Anolis sagrei: one gene and its partner. The protein of the gene in region 2 interacts with the protein of the main gene of each other region in a pairwise test. Links are inferred from orthologs where the notes say so. Each region holds a gene or a part of one and is shown on either strand. Other genes may lie near its edges.

Region 1 (7,262 bases), on a different chromosome or scaffold from region 2:
GATCAAAGGGGGCCAGGGGAGGTGGGTGCAAGCAAAAAAGGAGCGGAAGAAGGGTAAGGGGTGATAAGCACTGGCTGAGCATGAGGCGCAGAGGCCACCACTTATCTGCAGGAGGAGGCTTCGTCTTGTAAAGCCACAAGGCAGGAAGCGGTCAAGTGAAGTCGGCTGCAAAAGATGGGTCTCTGGGCTGCTTTGGCCAAAGAGCATTGCTTGGCTCAGGCAGGAAAGAGGGCCAGCACCTCACGCCTGGCCTTTGCAACCACACTTTTGAGAGGGGCAGGGAGGGGAGAGATTTTGAAATTACTCAAAGGCACACAACAATAACAAGAATAATACTTCCTACATATCATGAGATACCCATGGGAAAGACAACAATGGCTGGTAAAAGGGACAGCAGTAGGGAAAGATGGAGACCCCATTCCAGGTGGAAGGACTCCAGTAAGGATGCCATGGATGGTGATGCCAGGGTGTTTTTGGAGGTCTCTCATCGGTCAGGTCTTTGACCTCAGCAACTGACCAAAATGGTGGCACCTTGTCTTGGAACACTGGGGTGGAGGCTCAATGGTCCAGGACATCAAATACGTGACCCCTGATATTGAAGAGAGATGGCCCACATCCCTTCCCTCTCTATGACCCTCCCCTCCAACCCCCAATCGCTGGTGCCCCTCCTCTCCTACCTTTGCAGGTTGGGCTGTACAGAGGATTCTCCACCATGGAAAGGGAAGAAGGGGAAGGGGAAGAGGGAGGCTTGCCTTCCAGTCCGTCCTTCTCCAACTCGCTATTCCTCTGGAAACCAAGGGGAAGAAGAAGGTCTCCTATTAGTCGACAGCTGCCCAGGGCCTGGCTAGTTGACCTGAGAGCCCAGCTGCATTCTCTGTATTGTCAACACCTCTTTAGAGGCTACCTTTGAGGAACTGCCCATAAGAGAATAGCAGCCCTTCTGGGTTGGACAGGTAGACTTGAGTGGCTTGTGAATCTCATTTGCTGTTTTCAAAGCTTCACCCACTTTTACTTGGAGGTCAGTCTTCAGTGGTTCCAGGCTATGAGAGAATGCCCCTTCTCCTTTTTGCACCCCTCCATTCTCTGTGGGCCAAGCGACCCCTTAGCTGCCACCTTACCTTAAAGGCATGTTCACATAGTGCCAGGATCCAGGCTGCTGCCTCGGTGCTCTCAGCTGCCAGAAGATAGCACTTCTCAGTGGTCTCCAGGAGGAAGGGGGTGGTCTCCTTAAGGCAGCCGTCATCTTTGGTTGTCTCGGCCACATAGACACAGTCTCTCAGGTGGATCAGGCGCCGGCTACTGGTCTCCTTCTTCTTGGTTTTCCCTGCAGATGGAGGCAGCGTGCATCCGAGGAGCTCCAGGCGGGACGAGGCACAGCTGCTCCCCCGGTACAAGACGCCCCAGAACTTCCGCCATTTCTGGGGAGACAAAAAAGTCAACCAAGTTTCTACATGGAAATGCCCCTTGGTTCACACAGCATCTCACAGACTGGAGGAGAGGAGACTGAAGACATGGCATGCAAGTTATCTTTAAATATCTGAAGAGGCGTGAGCTTGTTTTCTATTACTCCGAAGACTCGCAATACATCTACACTGTAAAATGAATGCAGTTTGACATCACTTTACCATGACTCAGAGCTATGGAATATAAAGCTATTGTCCTCCGAACCCTGCTATACATCTGTGAAATGTGAACTGTCTACAGATGTCACTCAACTCCTGGAACGATTCCATCATCATTGCCTACGAAAAATACTGCAAATCTCTCGAGAAGACAGGCAGACAAATGTCAGCGTGCTGGAAGGCGCAAAGACCACTAGCATTGAAGTGATGCTCTTATGCCATCAACTCCGCTGGACTGGCATGTTGTCTGAATGCCCAATTACTGTCCCCCAAAGCAGTTACTATACTTCCAACTCAAGAATGGAAAATGGAATGTTGGTGGGCAGAAAAAGAGATTTAAAGATGGGCTTAAAGCTAACCTCAAAAACCGTGGCATAGACATTGGGAAGTGGGAAGCCCTGGCCCTTGAATGCTCTAACTGGAGGTCAGCTGTGACCAGCAGTGCTGTGGAATTTGAAGAGGCATGAATGGAGGGTGAAAGGGAGAAATGTGCTAAGAGAAAGAAGGTATTGGGGCATGTAAAAAATCAGTTGATCAGTGTGTTAACTTAAAATGCAGAGCACAAAGCCAATTGGGTGGGCTATGCCCAAAATACTAGCTGAGCCTGGGAATTTTGGCAACAGTTACATTTTAGGCTTCAGCTGTGCAGGATCTAGCAAGGAGACAGTTTCAATTCTTGCTTCATGAGCTGCTGAAAGATCTCCTACATGGACACCTAAATGCCATTTGAATCTCTCTCAAATGACATTGTGTGAGTCAATGCAACTGTTCACACGATTGTATATATATTGCTCTGCATTACAAAGAGTAAAATTCTTGTTCTTCATCTGCGTGGCATATTTTTCTTTCTCTGGCAAGACAGTGTGCGGACAGGTAAAACGTAAATTATACATGATTTTCATACCACCACAGAAGGCACATCAAGCCAACCCTGACTGGGACAGCCTTCCACCTGGAAACCGATGCCTTCAATATGGAAGAACATACAGATCAAGAATAGGGCTCCACCGTCACCTACGTATCCAATACCAAGACACTACATTTAGAAGGCCATCATACTCAGACAATGAGGACAACATGGAATCCTGGGAGTTGTGGTTTTGCAAGTTTTTCTAGCTTTCTCTGTCAAAAAGTGGCAAGTAGGAGTGGCTTCTAGGATACCATAAACTTGAGCCATGCAATCAAAATGGTGTCCATTGCATTAATTCTACTGTGTAGATGAACCCTAGAACATCACCAATGGATTCCAATTACAAGAAAATGAATTCCAGCATGAGGCATGGAATTTGAGCCAACACAACTTTGTGACTATCTTAGCAAAGGATGATGGAGCCCAATGCATCATCTCTTTAAGAAACTCCCAACAAAAGCCTTAACCCTCAACTTTGGGCCTTACCTTCCCAAAGGTCTGCTGCTGGTACATGTAGAGGAAGCCCTTCTTCACCACGGCTTCTTCCATCATTGAGCACAAGGCAAGAGGTCCACTTGTCCAGAGCCTCTTTCTCCAGTTCTTCTCAGGAGTTTTCTCTCCCGCTCTTTGCTTTTGCCAATTGTGTGCTCAATGGTGCTCAAAAACATCTCTCGCTCACTTTTCTACCCTTTCAAGAAAGCATGCTAAGTCAGCTTCCTGTGGTTGTAACCTCACCCAAAAGGACAAAAACAGCATAAACTGGTCCCTGCAGAAACACAAGCATAAAGTTCCACAGAGAAAGGTGTGGATCTTTGGAAACTATATATCCCAGGACTATATAGTATGGAGCTATGGTATGGGCACCAACTGCATTCATTCAATAGTGTAGATGCACCCAGAGAAGGGATGGACCTCAGGAAACCGCAACTCCCAGGAGGACTCAATCACACTGAGCAATGGCATTTAAATTGAGGTCCAAGAGCATTCATTCCATAGTGTAAATGCACCAAAAGAATGGTATAGACCTCAGGAAACAATAACTTCCAGGAGGACTCCATCTCACAGAGACATAGCATTTAAAGTGGGGTCCAACTGCATTCATTTCACAGTGTACATGCACCCAGAAAAGGTTCATGGACCTTGGGAAACTGCAATTCCCAAGACCATCTCATGGAGTCATGGCATTTAAAGTAAGGTCCAACTGCATTCATTCCACAGTGTAGATGCACCGAGAAGGGTATGGACCTTGGGACCTTGGAAAACTGTAACTCCCAGGAGGACGCCATCACATGGAGCCATGTAATAGAATCATAGAATCAAAGAGTTGGAAGAGAACTCATGGGCCATCCAGTCCAACCCCCTGCCAAGAAGCAGGAATATTGCATTCAAATCACCCCTGACAGATGGCCATCCAGCCTTTGTTTAAAAGCTTCCAAAGAAGGAGCCTCCACCACACTCCAGGGCAGAGAGTTCCACTGTTGAATGGCTCTCACAGTCAGGAAGTTCTTCCTCATGTTCAGATGGAATCTCTTCTCTTGTAGTTTGAAGCCATTGTTCCGCGTCCTAGTCTCCAGGGAAGCAGAAAACAAGCTTGCTCCCTCCTCCCTGTGGCTTCCTCTCACATATTTATACATGGCTATCATATCTCCTCTCAGCCTTCTCTTCTGTCATTTAAAGTGGAGTGCAAGGGCATTCATTCCATATTGTAAATGCACCAAGAGACAGGTATGGATCTTGGAAAACTATGATTCCCAAGACTTCACAGGCTATTTTAAAAAAAGAAATTCTTCTGGCAAAGTAAAAACTCGGTAAGCAAAAACAATTGGCAGAACTTTCCCTAACAAGGGAACTTTTGGCTCCACAATTTACCCCTCCCACAAATTGGGGAAACATTTCATTTTAAACCTGAGAGCAATGAATGCCATCACATTACAGAACTGGCCAAACATCCAGAACGTTACCAAAAATCTACTTCTCTACCACCTCCTGAACCATTTGAAAAGAATGCTGGCTCCCACACTTAAAATACGTAAAGAATGCTCTATCCTACACGTGAAACCAACCTAATGTGATGAACACAGTCGTTTTCCACATTTTAAGTGTAGCACTCAGTGGAATTTAGTAAATGTGATGAAGTGGTAAATGCTGCAGTAAAACACTGAAGAAAATGTAAGCATGTGAGGGATGCACACAGACTTCAAGTGCTCTGAAGAATGGTTCATTTTCTGCTGGGACTGATTTGGAGCCAATCTGTTTCAAACTGGCCTGAAATTCAGAAACGATTAGGTCTGTTCCTCCCACATCTGGATTTCTGTCTTTTGTTTTTAAAGGAATTTAAACAATTTATTCTATCATTCACCTGCATTTTAAAACAACTTCTATATATTTTACTCTGGTTTTATTGACTTTGAAGGAATGCTTGCTTTTCTTGATGAAGTATGTTATGCAATGATAAAATGATCCAGGACAGTGGTTAGATGATCTAATAAGGAGTCTGAGAAAGTTATGTTTTTGCATTAAAGTTCTCAGAATATGCCAATTGAAATAAAAACTCCATAAATATGAGGAAAAAACTTCATCTTACAATTAACAATGTCATGCCAAATCCAAGTATCTCTGGATTTTTTTGTAGTTTTTGGTGAAATAGAATAAAAGTGGATACTGCATTGTGCAGAATCCCCCCACACCCCATCCCCAGAAATCTGAGTGCAACTGAGGTCCCTTCCTCGCTGCCATACAAACCAGATTATAGCAGATAATTCAGTTCAAAGCAGATAATGTCAGTTTTACATGGCAATGTGGAAGGGGTTTCATCTAATCCAGTTCAAAGCAAATAACATGGTTTTCATATGGCTGTGGGTTAAACCCTTGTGCCGGCAGGACTGAAGACCGACAGGTTGCAGGTTCGAATCCGGGGAGTGGCGGATGAGCTCCCTCTATCAACTCCAGCTCCTCATGCGGGGACATGAGAAAAGCCTCCCACAAGGATGATAAAAACATCAAATCATCTAGGCGTCCCCTGGGCAACGTCATTGCAGACAGCCAATTCTCTTACACCAGAAGCAACTTGCAGTTTCTCAAGTCACTGCTGACAGGACAGATATATATATATATATAGAGAGAGAGAGAGAGAGAGAGAGAGCTGTGTGGAAGATCCCCTTCCACACAGCTGTATAAAATCCACATTGAACTGGATTATATGGCAGTGTGGACTCAGATAATCCAGCTCAAAATAGATATTATGGATTATCTGCCTTGACATTCTGGGTTAAATGGCTGTATGGAAGGACCCTCATATAATCCAGCTCAGAGCAGATAATGTGGATTTTATATGATAGTGGAAGGGCCCTTCGAAGGGGCCTCATATAATCCAGTTCAAAGAGGATGTGGATTTTTATTGCAGTTTAGGCCCTTTCCACACAGTTATATAAAATCAGCACTGAAATGGATTATATGGCAGTGTGGACTCAGTTCAAAGCAGATGTTGTGGATTATCAGCCTTGATATTCTGGGTTATATTGCTGCATGGAAGGGCCCTTCGAAGGAGCCTCATATAATCCAGTTCAAAGAGGATGTGGATTTTTATTGCAGTTTAGGCCCCTTATAAAATTCAGCTATATAAAATTCGCACTGAAGTGGATTATAGGGCAGTGTGGACTCAGATCACCCAGTTCAAAGCAGATGTTGTGGATTAGCTGCCTTGACATTCTGGGTTAAATGGCTGTGTGGAAGGACCCTCATATAATCCAGTTCAGAGCAGATAATGTAGATTTTATATGACAGTGGAAGGGGCCTCATATAATCCAGTTCAAAGGGGATGTGGATTTTTATTGCAGTTTAGGCCCCTTCCACACAGGGGGGCCTAAACTGCAATAAAAATCCACATCCTCTTTGAGGAGCAGGGCCTTCTCGGTGGTGGCCTCTCACCTGTGGAACTCACTCCTGGGAGAAATTAGGGCGTCAACATCCCTCCTCTCCTTCAGGAGGAAAGTAAAGACGTGGTTGTGGGGCCAGGCCTTTGGGCAATCTGACAACTAGATAAGGACAATCAAACGACTAGGACTGACAGGACTGACAATGTGGAATTGGAAATTGGACTATGAGATAGCGAATGCTGACCGTCTATGAGGAGTAATTGGGATTGTATTGTTTTATTGGTTTTAGGATTGTAATGCAGGAATTGTTGTTTAACTGTTCAACTGTTTTAACTGTTTAATTGATGTTATTTTATTTTACTACTGTTATGTGATGCTGGCATCGAATTGTGCCTTTGTAAGCCGCTCTGAGTCCCCTCGGGGTGAGAAGGGCGGGGTAGAAGAAACCTATATATATATATATATATATATATATATATAATGCGCACTGAAGTGGATTATATGGCAGTGTGGACTCAGATAACCCAGTTCAAAGCAGATGTTGTGGATTATCTGCCTTGACATTCTGGGTTTTATTGCTGCGTGGAAGGGCCCTTCGAAGGGGCCTCATATAATCCAGTTCAAAGCAGATAATGTGGATTATATGGCAGTGTAGACTCAGATAACCCAGTTCAAAACAGATAATGTGGATTATATGGCAGTGTGGACTCAGATAACCCAGTTCAAAACAGATGTTGTGGATTATCTGACTTGACATTCTTGGTTATATTGCTGCGTGGAAGGGCCCTTCGAAGGGGCCTCATATAATCCAGTTCAAAGCAGATAATGTGGATTATATGGCAGTGTGGACTCAGA
Region 2 (8,073 bases):
GAGCCTGGCCGAGGCGGCGGCGGCAAACCTGACTTCAGGAACAGAAGAGGGGGCGGAGGGGGCTCTAATTTCAGAAATGGAAGACGCGGTGGTGACTCGAACAGGCGTGACAGATTCAGAAACAGGGGCCAAAAACGAAACTTTTGACCGGGCTTTTTTGATCATTTGCAACTGTCAAATATAAAGGATGTTTTAACAACAGTAAAAATTGATTTACACTTTCCTTATGTGTTTTCTTTTTTATTAGTTTGGTTTTGTCTGGTTGCAAAACTCATGTTGACAAATATTAGGATTGGCGTTTCATTGCTGCTGTGTCTTCAAGTCATTTCTGACCTAGCAAGATTTGTTTAGATGAGACAGATAATATGACTTGCATAGTGCATTTCCTGGGCAAGGAGGAATTTGAACCCTGTTATCCAGTCATAATCCGGTGCTCAAGCCATTACACCACACCAGGTCACTAGCATAATAAACCAAGACCGAACCTAGTGCTGCTACAGTTACCACATTTGCTACAAGCTCTTATAGTAATACATTTAGAACAGGGGTCCTCAAACTAAGGCCCGAGGGCCGGATGTGGCCCTCCAAGGTCATTTACCTGGCCCTCACTCAGGGTCAGCCTAAGTCTGAAATGACTTGAAAGCACACAACAACAACAATCCGATCTCATTTGCCAAAAGCAGACTCACACCTCCCACTGAAATGCCAGAAGGTCATGGGGGACCTTGTTGAAAGCCTTACTGAAATCCAGATATGCTACATTCATGGCATTCCCTGCACCTACCCAGTTTGTAACTCTGTTGGAGGTGATTTTTGAGCTGAGGTATTTAATCTGGTGAGTTTGCCGAGGTCTTACATTTATATTGATGGAGAAGTTGTGGGAGGGGTTGCAGACCACATGATCCGCTCTGGAACCAGCAGTGTACAGACTTTTTCGGGACCACACAGATTGCAGACTTGCAAACATTTGCCTGCTGTTTATTATAAGAGATGTTCTTCTGGAAGGGACTGCCTGATGAAGACCAAAGAAGGCACGGAGTTGGCTTTGCTATGTACTGTTTTTGAGATGTTGAGCCAAAGTCCAAGATTTGCAATTTCCTTTTGCACACTTGCACCACCACTATGTACAAAAATAATTGTTGGCCCTCTGTATCTTCTTCCATCCTCTTCTAGCAATTGGTTTATCTATAAGTGTGACGATGTGTAAGTTTTATTTCTTTGGTTATGTGTAGTTTGCATAGTGGTTTAGGGATGGTAAGTATGGGAGATTATGTTTTGTTGGAGATGGTGGCTTGGCGTTAGCTAAGTTGCCGTAGCAACAGGGGCGGAGCCAACTGCCTCTTCAGGAGGCAGCTGTTTTAAAAAGTCAGTCAGTGGCCGGAGAGCTACTGAGAGGACTGAGTCTCTAGGTGGAGATTCAGGAAAAGTGTCTGTAACCGGTGTGCTATAGGAAAGACTGAATCTCAGGGTGGGGATTCAGGGAATCAATTGGTGACCAAAGTGGTTGCAGAGAAGGACCCGGTAGTGAGAGAGCTACAGGGGGTTGTTGATTCTGAATTAAGAATCAAGGTTTGGCTAGGTTTAAGCCTGCTGTGCCTGCTGTGAAACGTTTTGAAGTCTGTGCCTGAGATTACTTATGAAACCTTTCCAATGTAACCATCAAGATTTGTGCCTCTCTTGAAGAAACAGTTAAACATGTTATACTCCTGTTAAAATAAACTTGTTACTGTTCTCCTCAAGCCTTGCCTCATACAATTTCTCCTAAGTTGAACAGCCTGCAATAGTAAAGTCAAGCCAGGAAAGTAAACGCTACGCTATCAAATAAATAAAGCCTTCTGTAATTAACAGTCCCTTTATAAAATAGCTCCTAGGTTGATATTGAGCGTTGCCTGGCTTCCCTCATAGATTAGGTGGCAGTGGGTGTTTTACCACTCGCACCTTCACATTTGGTGGCATTCGGTGGCATTAAAACGGTCTCCTTTACAATAAGCTTGTTGCTTATAGATATTGTATGTATGCTCTGATATGCAACTTTCTTTCCTTGCTCTATGTTTCTCCTGAGAAGTTGTGGGAGGGGCTGCAGACCACATGATCCGCTCTGGAACCAGCAGAGTACAGACTTTTTAGACTTTGGGACCACACAGATTGCAGACATGCAAACACCTGCCTACTGTTTGTTGGAAGAGAGATGTTCTTCTGGAAGAGCCTGACTGATTAAGACTAAAGAATGCACGGAGTTGGCTTTGCTATCAGAAATGACCTGGTGAAACATCTGACCGAAGCACCCACTGGCATCAATGAACGACTCTCAACCCTCCGAACTGAATTTGCCAAAAACCAACAGGCAACCATCATAAGTGCCTATGCACTAACACTAGATGCTGATTAAAACATCAAGGAAAAATTTTACTGTCAGCTGAACACCGTCCTATCAGAGATACCTAAGGAGGACAAAATCATCCTCCTGAGGAATTTTAATGCAAAAGTCGGGCAAGACTTCGACCTGTGGCCAGGGATCATAGAAAAAGACGGGGTTGGAAACAGCAACTCGAATGGCATTGTGTGGAACACAACCTTGTCATCACCAACATGCTCTTCCACCAGAAAAACAAGTTCAAGACATCATGGAAGCACCCCCGGTCAAAGCATTGGCACCTCTTAGACTACGTAATCACACGGGCCAGAAACGGCTGTGACATGCTTCTCATAAGAGCCATGACAGGTGCTGACGACTGCTGGACAGACCACAGGCTAATCCAATCCACGATGGCTATCAAGATGGCCCCCAAGCGCAGACTCCAAGGAAGAAAGACACGGTGCTAAATGAACACCCAAGTCCTTCAGAAGCCCTCCAAACGAGCTCATCTCCAAACAGCACTCAAGAACCATCTACCCACAGAACACCCTGAAAATGTTGAGGAACGTTGGAACAAACTGAAGACCTCCATCATCACAGCCTGCGAAGAAACTACTGGATATCAAACCAGGAAACATCAAGATTGGTTTGACGAAAATGACGAGATCCAACAGCTAACTTGACAAGAAAAGGAAAGCCTTCCAAACATGGCAGAGAGATATCAACTGTGCTACTAAGAAAAAGATCTACGTTAGTGCAAAAGCTGAGGTCCAAAGGACAAGAGAACTCAATAACATCTGGTGGAGAAAGAAGGCTGAAGGAATCCAACACCTGGCAGATACCCATAATGCCAAAAAGAAAAATGGGTTACCCTGAAACTATGGAGACCAAAACCCACTGATTGTGGTAATATGAAAATAACTAAATTAACTCAATGTATATATTACAAATACACATATTAAAAAAAACTGCCACATTCACATTAAGTAGAAACAACTGGTTATGAAAGACGCCCAGCGGCCACATCATGAGAAGAAGGAAGAAGGGAAAGCTTAGAGAAAACAATAGAATTATAGAATCCTAGAGTTGGAAAAAAACCTCATGGGTCATCCAGTCCAACCCCCTGCCAAGAAGCAGGAATATTGCATTCAAAGCACCTCTGACAGATGGCCATCCAGCCTCTGTTTAAAAACCTCCAAAGAAGGAGCCTCCACCACACTCCAGGGCAGAGAGTTCCACTGATGAACAGCTCTCCCAGTCAGGAAGTTCTTCCTCGTGTTCAGGTGGAATCTCCTTTCTTGTAGTTTGAAGCCATTGTTCTGCGTCCTAGTTTCCAGGGAAGCAGAAAACAAGCTTGCTCCCTCCTCCCTGTGGCTTCCTCTCACATATTTATACATGGCTATCATGTCTCCTCTCAGCCTTCTCTTCTTCAGGCTAAACATGCCCAGCTCCTTAAGCTGCTCCTCACAGGGCTTGTTCTCCAGACAATGATGCTGGGGAATATGGAAGGAAAAAGGAAGAGGGGTCGACCAAAGGCAAGATGGATGGATGGGATCCTTGAATAGACTGACTTGACCTTGAAGGAGCTGGGGGTGGTGATGGCCCCACATTCCAGCTTGATATTATCAAGCTGGAATGTGTCCAGAGGAGGGCAACTAGAATGATCAAGGGTCTGGAGAACTGGATAACGAACCCTATGAGGAGCGGCTTAAGGAGCTGGATGGCCATCTGTCAGGGGTGATTTGAATGCAATGTTCCTGCTTCTTGTCAGGGGGTTGGACTGGATGGCCCATGAGGTCTCTTCCAACTCTTTGATTCTAACAGGGAGCTCTGGCTTGGGCTGGTCCATGAGGGCAAGATGGATGGATGGCATCCTTGAACTGACTGGCTTGACCTTGAAGGAGCTGGGGGTGGTGACGGCTGACAGGGAGCACTGGCTTGGGCAAGATGGATGGGATCCTTGAATTGACTTGCTTGACCTTGAAGGCGCTGGGGGTGGTGACAGTCGACAGGGAGCTCTGGCTTGGGCTGGTCCATGAGGGCAAGATGGATGGATGGCATCCTTGAACTGACTGGCTTGACCTTGAAGGAGCTGGGGGTGGTGACGGCTGACAGGGAGCTCTGGCTTGGGCTGGTCCATGAGGGCAAGATGGATGGATGGGATCCTTGAACTGACTAGCTTGGCTTTAAAGGAGCTGGGGGTGGTGACGGCCGACAGGGAGCTCTGGCTTGGGCTGGTCCATGAGGGCAAGATGGATGGATGGGATCCTTGAACTGACTAGCTTGGCTTTAAAGGAGCTGGGGGTGGTGACGGCCGACAGGGAGGCTGGTCCATGAGGTTATGAAGAGTCGGAAACGACTAAACGACTGAACAACAACTGAGAAGCGTGGAAGGCGGCTGTAACGGAGGGAAGGGAGCCAAGAGGACGTTCTCTGGCGCGCTCCCTGACTGCGCATGCGCGCCAGTCGACGGTCGGGTTAGAAACCCTGGAGACGCGCTGAGGGAGAGGCGGACAAAATGGCGGCGCCGGCCGAGTGGGCTTCGCTGTGCGAGAAGTTCCGCAACGCCCTCAACCTCTCCTACGTGGAGTCCAAGAAGGACCCGGAGACCGAGCCGTACCGCTCCAAGTACAGCGCCCGGGAGCTGCTCGAAGGCATCAAGCAGTCGCTGGGCTCGGAGGAGGTTGGCGAGGCCGAGGGCGGCCCTGCGGAGGAGGGCGCCGAGGAAGAGCGCATGCGCGCCGCGCGGCTGGCGGCGGTGGAGTACGAGCTGGGAATGAACCACACAGACACGCAGGAACGCTCGGCCGGAGAGGAGCACCTGGCCAAGTGCCTCCAGCTGCTGGAGCGGCACCGCCTCTCGCGAGACTGCGTCTCCCTCTACATCCAGGCCCAGGTGGGACGGGCGGGGGAGGGAGGGAAGAGCGCGGTGGCGTCACTAAGGGCGCGCGTGGTGACGTCACAGAACAACAGAGGGCTGCATTACAGAGGAGGGGGGAGCATACCCAAAAGAGCTTAAAGCACAGAAATGTATTCTATTTTTATATTTAAACAATCTCTGTAGCTGGATTGAGCCACCATCACTTTTTTCATAAGCACACTTTATATGTGCTAAGATTGAATACCCCTTATCTAAAAGGTTTGTGACCAAAATAATAATCTTCAATATAAATAAAAATGTAATGTTAGTTCGTGCTACCAACAGAACTCAGAAATCACTGGGGGAATTGACACCAAATTTGGACACAAGACACCTAACAACCCAATGTATGTCCGGATTCGTAGTTACTGGGATTTATGTTGTTCATTCATTCAGTCGTCTCCGACTCTTCGTGACCTCATGGACCAGCCCATGCCAGAGCTCTCTGTCGGCCGTCACCACCCCCAGCTCCTTCAAGGTCAGTCCAGTCACTTCAAGGATGCCATCCATCCATCTTGCCCTTGGTCGGCCCCTCTTCCTTTTGCCTTCCACTTTCCCCAGCATAATTGTCTTCTCTAGGCTTTGCTGTCTCCTCATGATGTGGCCAAAGTACTTCAACTTTGTCTCTAGTATCCTTCCCTCCAATGAGCAGTCGGGCTTTATTTCCTGGAGGATGGACTGGTTGGATCTTCTCGCAGTCCAAGGCACTCTCAGAACTTTCCTCCAACACCACAGTTTAAAAGAATCTATCTTCTAGGTTCTAGTAGGTTTTTTCGGGCTATAGGGCCATGTTCTAGAGGCATTTCTCCTGACGTTTCGCCTGCATCTATGGCAAGCATCCTCAGAGGTAGTGAGGTCTGTTGGAAATAGGAAAATGGGTTTATATATCTGTGGAATGACTGGGGTGGGGCAAAGAGCTCTCTGCTGAAGCTAGGTGTGAATGTTTCAGCTGACCACCTTCATTAGCATTTGAAGGCCTGGCTGAGCCTGGGAAAATGTTCTGTTAAGAGGTGTTAAGATGTACCTAGTTGTTTCCTCTCTGCTGTTTTGCTGTAGTAATTTTAGAGTTTTTTAATACTGGTAGCCAGATTTTGTTCATTTTCATGGTCTTCTCCTTTCTTTGTACACAGAGAAGCCATTGAAATCCACAAGCATATGGACAATTTCAACAGAAAGGAGGAGACCCTGAAAATGAACAAAATCTGGCTACCAGTATTAAAAATCTCTAAAATTACAAGTGTAGCTTTCATTTTCCACCCCTTGTAGGATTTCATTTTCTTTGTATGATGTCTTTTAAAATAACAATTTAATCTTTCCTTATTTTGCAGAATAATCTGGGTATCCTCTGGTCAGAAAGAGAGGACATTAAGACAGCACAGCCATATTTGGAATCTGCAGAGGCTTTGTATAACCAGTACATGAAAGAGGTAATATGTTGAAATAATTTGCTTTGAGTCTCTTTGGGGAGATAGAGTGGAATATAAATAAAGCTTTATTATTATTTGTGTTTCTGCAGTGTGTCAATTCTTGGATGTGAGAGTAATTGAATTTCTAAGTTCTGGTGTTGATAGGCTGTGGTCATAACATAAGAAGCAAGTTGTCTGGGTGCATGATTGTTGAATTTTGCAACCTAGATAATATGTTGTGAAACTGAGAGCCAGTATCTTTCACTTAGGAGCCATTATTTTAGAAATTTATAATCGTATCTAGTAAATCTATCTAGCACTGTAATTTCATTTTTATGTTACGTTTCAAAATTGCTACAATTTAAGCAAAGGTGTTAAGCCGAAGCTTGTGTCCAAAGTTATCAGAATTTCTATTTAATTTTACTTATATAATAGTAAAGGTAAAGGCTTTCCCCTGACATTAAGTTCAGTCATGTCCGACTCTGGGGGGTGGTGCTCATCTCCATTTCTAAGCCGAAGAGTCAGCGTTGTCTGTAGACACCTCCAAGGTCATGTGGCCGGCATGACTGCATGGAGCGCCCTTACCTTCCCGCCGGAGCGGTACCTATTAATCTACTCACATTTCCATATTTTCATACTGCTAGGTTGGCAGAAGCTAGGGCTGACAGCAAAAGCTCACGCCGCTCCCCGGAAGAGTATAAATACTCCCAAGTAAATAAGGCTGCATTGCTCCGCTGCTCTTGTACAATTGTTATGCTGTTGGTGCAGAATCAGGGTTACTGCTCTGCTTATGCTAAGATAGATAGCTCTGTTTATAGATTAGTCCACTGACCATATCAACAATAACAGACAAAACCAAAAATACACAGACCAATAGACACTAATCACTATGCTGAAACATGAAAGGCACTGCAGACTACTTCAACCAGAGAAGTCAGCCATAGCAGAGCACCTGATGAACCAACCTGGACACAGCATTTTATTTGAGAACACAGAAATGCTGGACCACTCTCACAACCACCATGTCAGACTACACAGAGAAGCCATTGAAATACACAGGCATGTGGACAATTTCAACAGAAAGGAGGAAACCATGAAAATGAACAAAATCTGGCTACCAGTATTAAAAAACTCTAAAATTGCAACAGCACAACAACAGAGAGGAAGCAGGCAGGGACATCTAATTACCTCTCAACAAAAGATTGCTCCAGGCACTGCCAGGCAATCAAATGCTAATCAAGGTGGTCAGTTGAAACATTCACACCTAGCTCCAGCAGAAAAGAGTCCTTTGTCTCACCCTGGTCATTCCACAGATATATAAACCCTTTTTCCTACTTCCAACAGACCTCACTACCTCTGAGGATGCTTGCCATAGATGCAGGCGAAACGTC

Evidence for each region.
Region 1: the proteins of KIFBP (region 2) and DOK2 interact in a two-hybrid assay, tested with the Homo sapiens proteins (2 studies listed by BioGRID and IntAct). The two-hybrid records come from large-scale screens. The link is inferred for Anolis sagrei from reciprocal best matches to the Homo sapiens genes KIFBP and DOK2.

The regions. Positions count from the first base shown.
Region 1 is NC_090027.1:21,571,119-21,578,380, forward strand, and holds the start of DOK2 (docking protein 2), read right to left. Parts: upstream 3,163-7,262; 5' UTR 3,085-3,162; coding exon 3,019-3,084; intron 1,419-3,018; coding exon 1,119-1,418; intron 787-1,118; coding exon 678-786; intron 1-677. UniProt on the Homo sapiens protein: DOK proteins are enzymatically inert adaptor or scaffolding proteins. They provide a docking platform for the assembly of multimolecular signaling complexes. DOK2 may modulate the cellular proliferation induced by IL-4, as well as IL-2 and IL-3.
Region 2 is NC_090023.1:170,884,691-170,892,763, forward strand, and holds the start of KIFBP (KIF-binding protein), read left to right. Parts: upstream 1-4,815; 5' UTR 4,816-4,874; coding exon 4,875-5,252; intron 5,253-6,604; coding exon 6,605-6,703; intron 6,704-8,073. Other genes in the region: DDX21 (nucleolar RNA helicase 2), read left to right, coding at 1-147. UniProt on the Homo sapiens protein: Activator of KIF1B plus-end-directed microtubule motor activity. Required for organization of axonal microtubules, and axonal outgrowth and maintenance during peripheral and central nervous system development.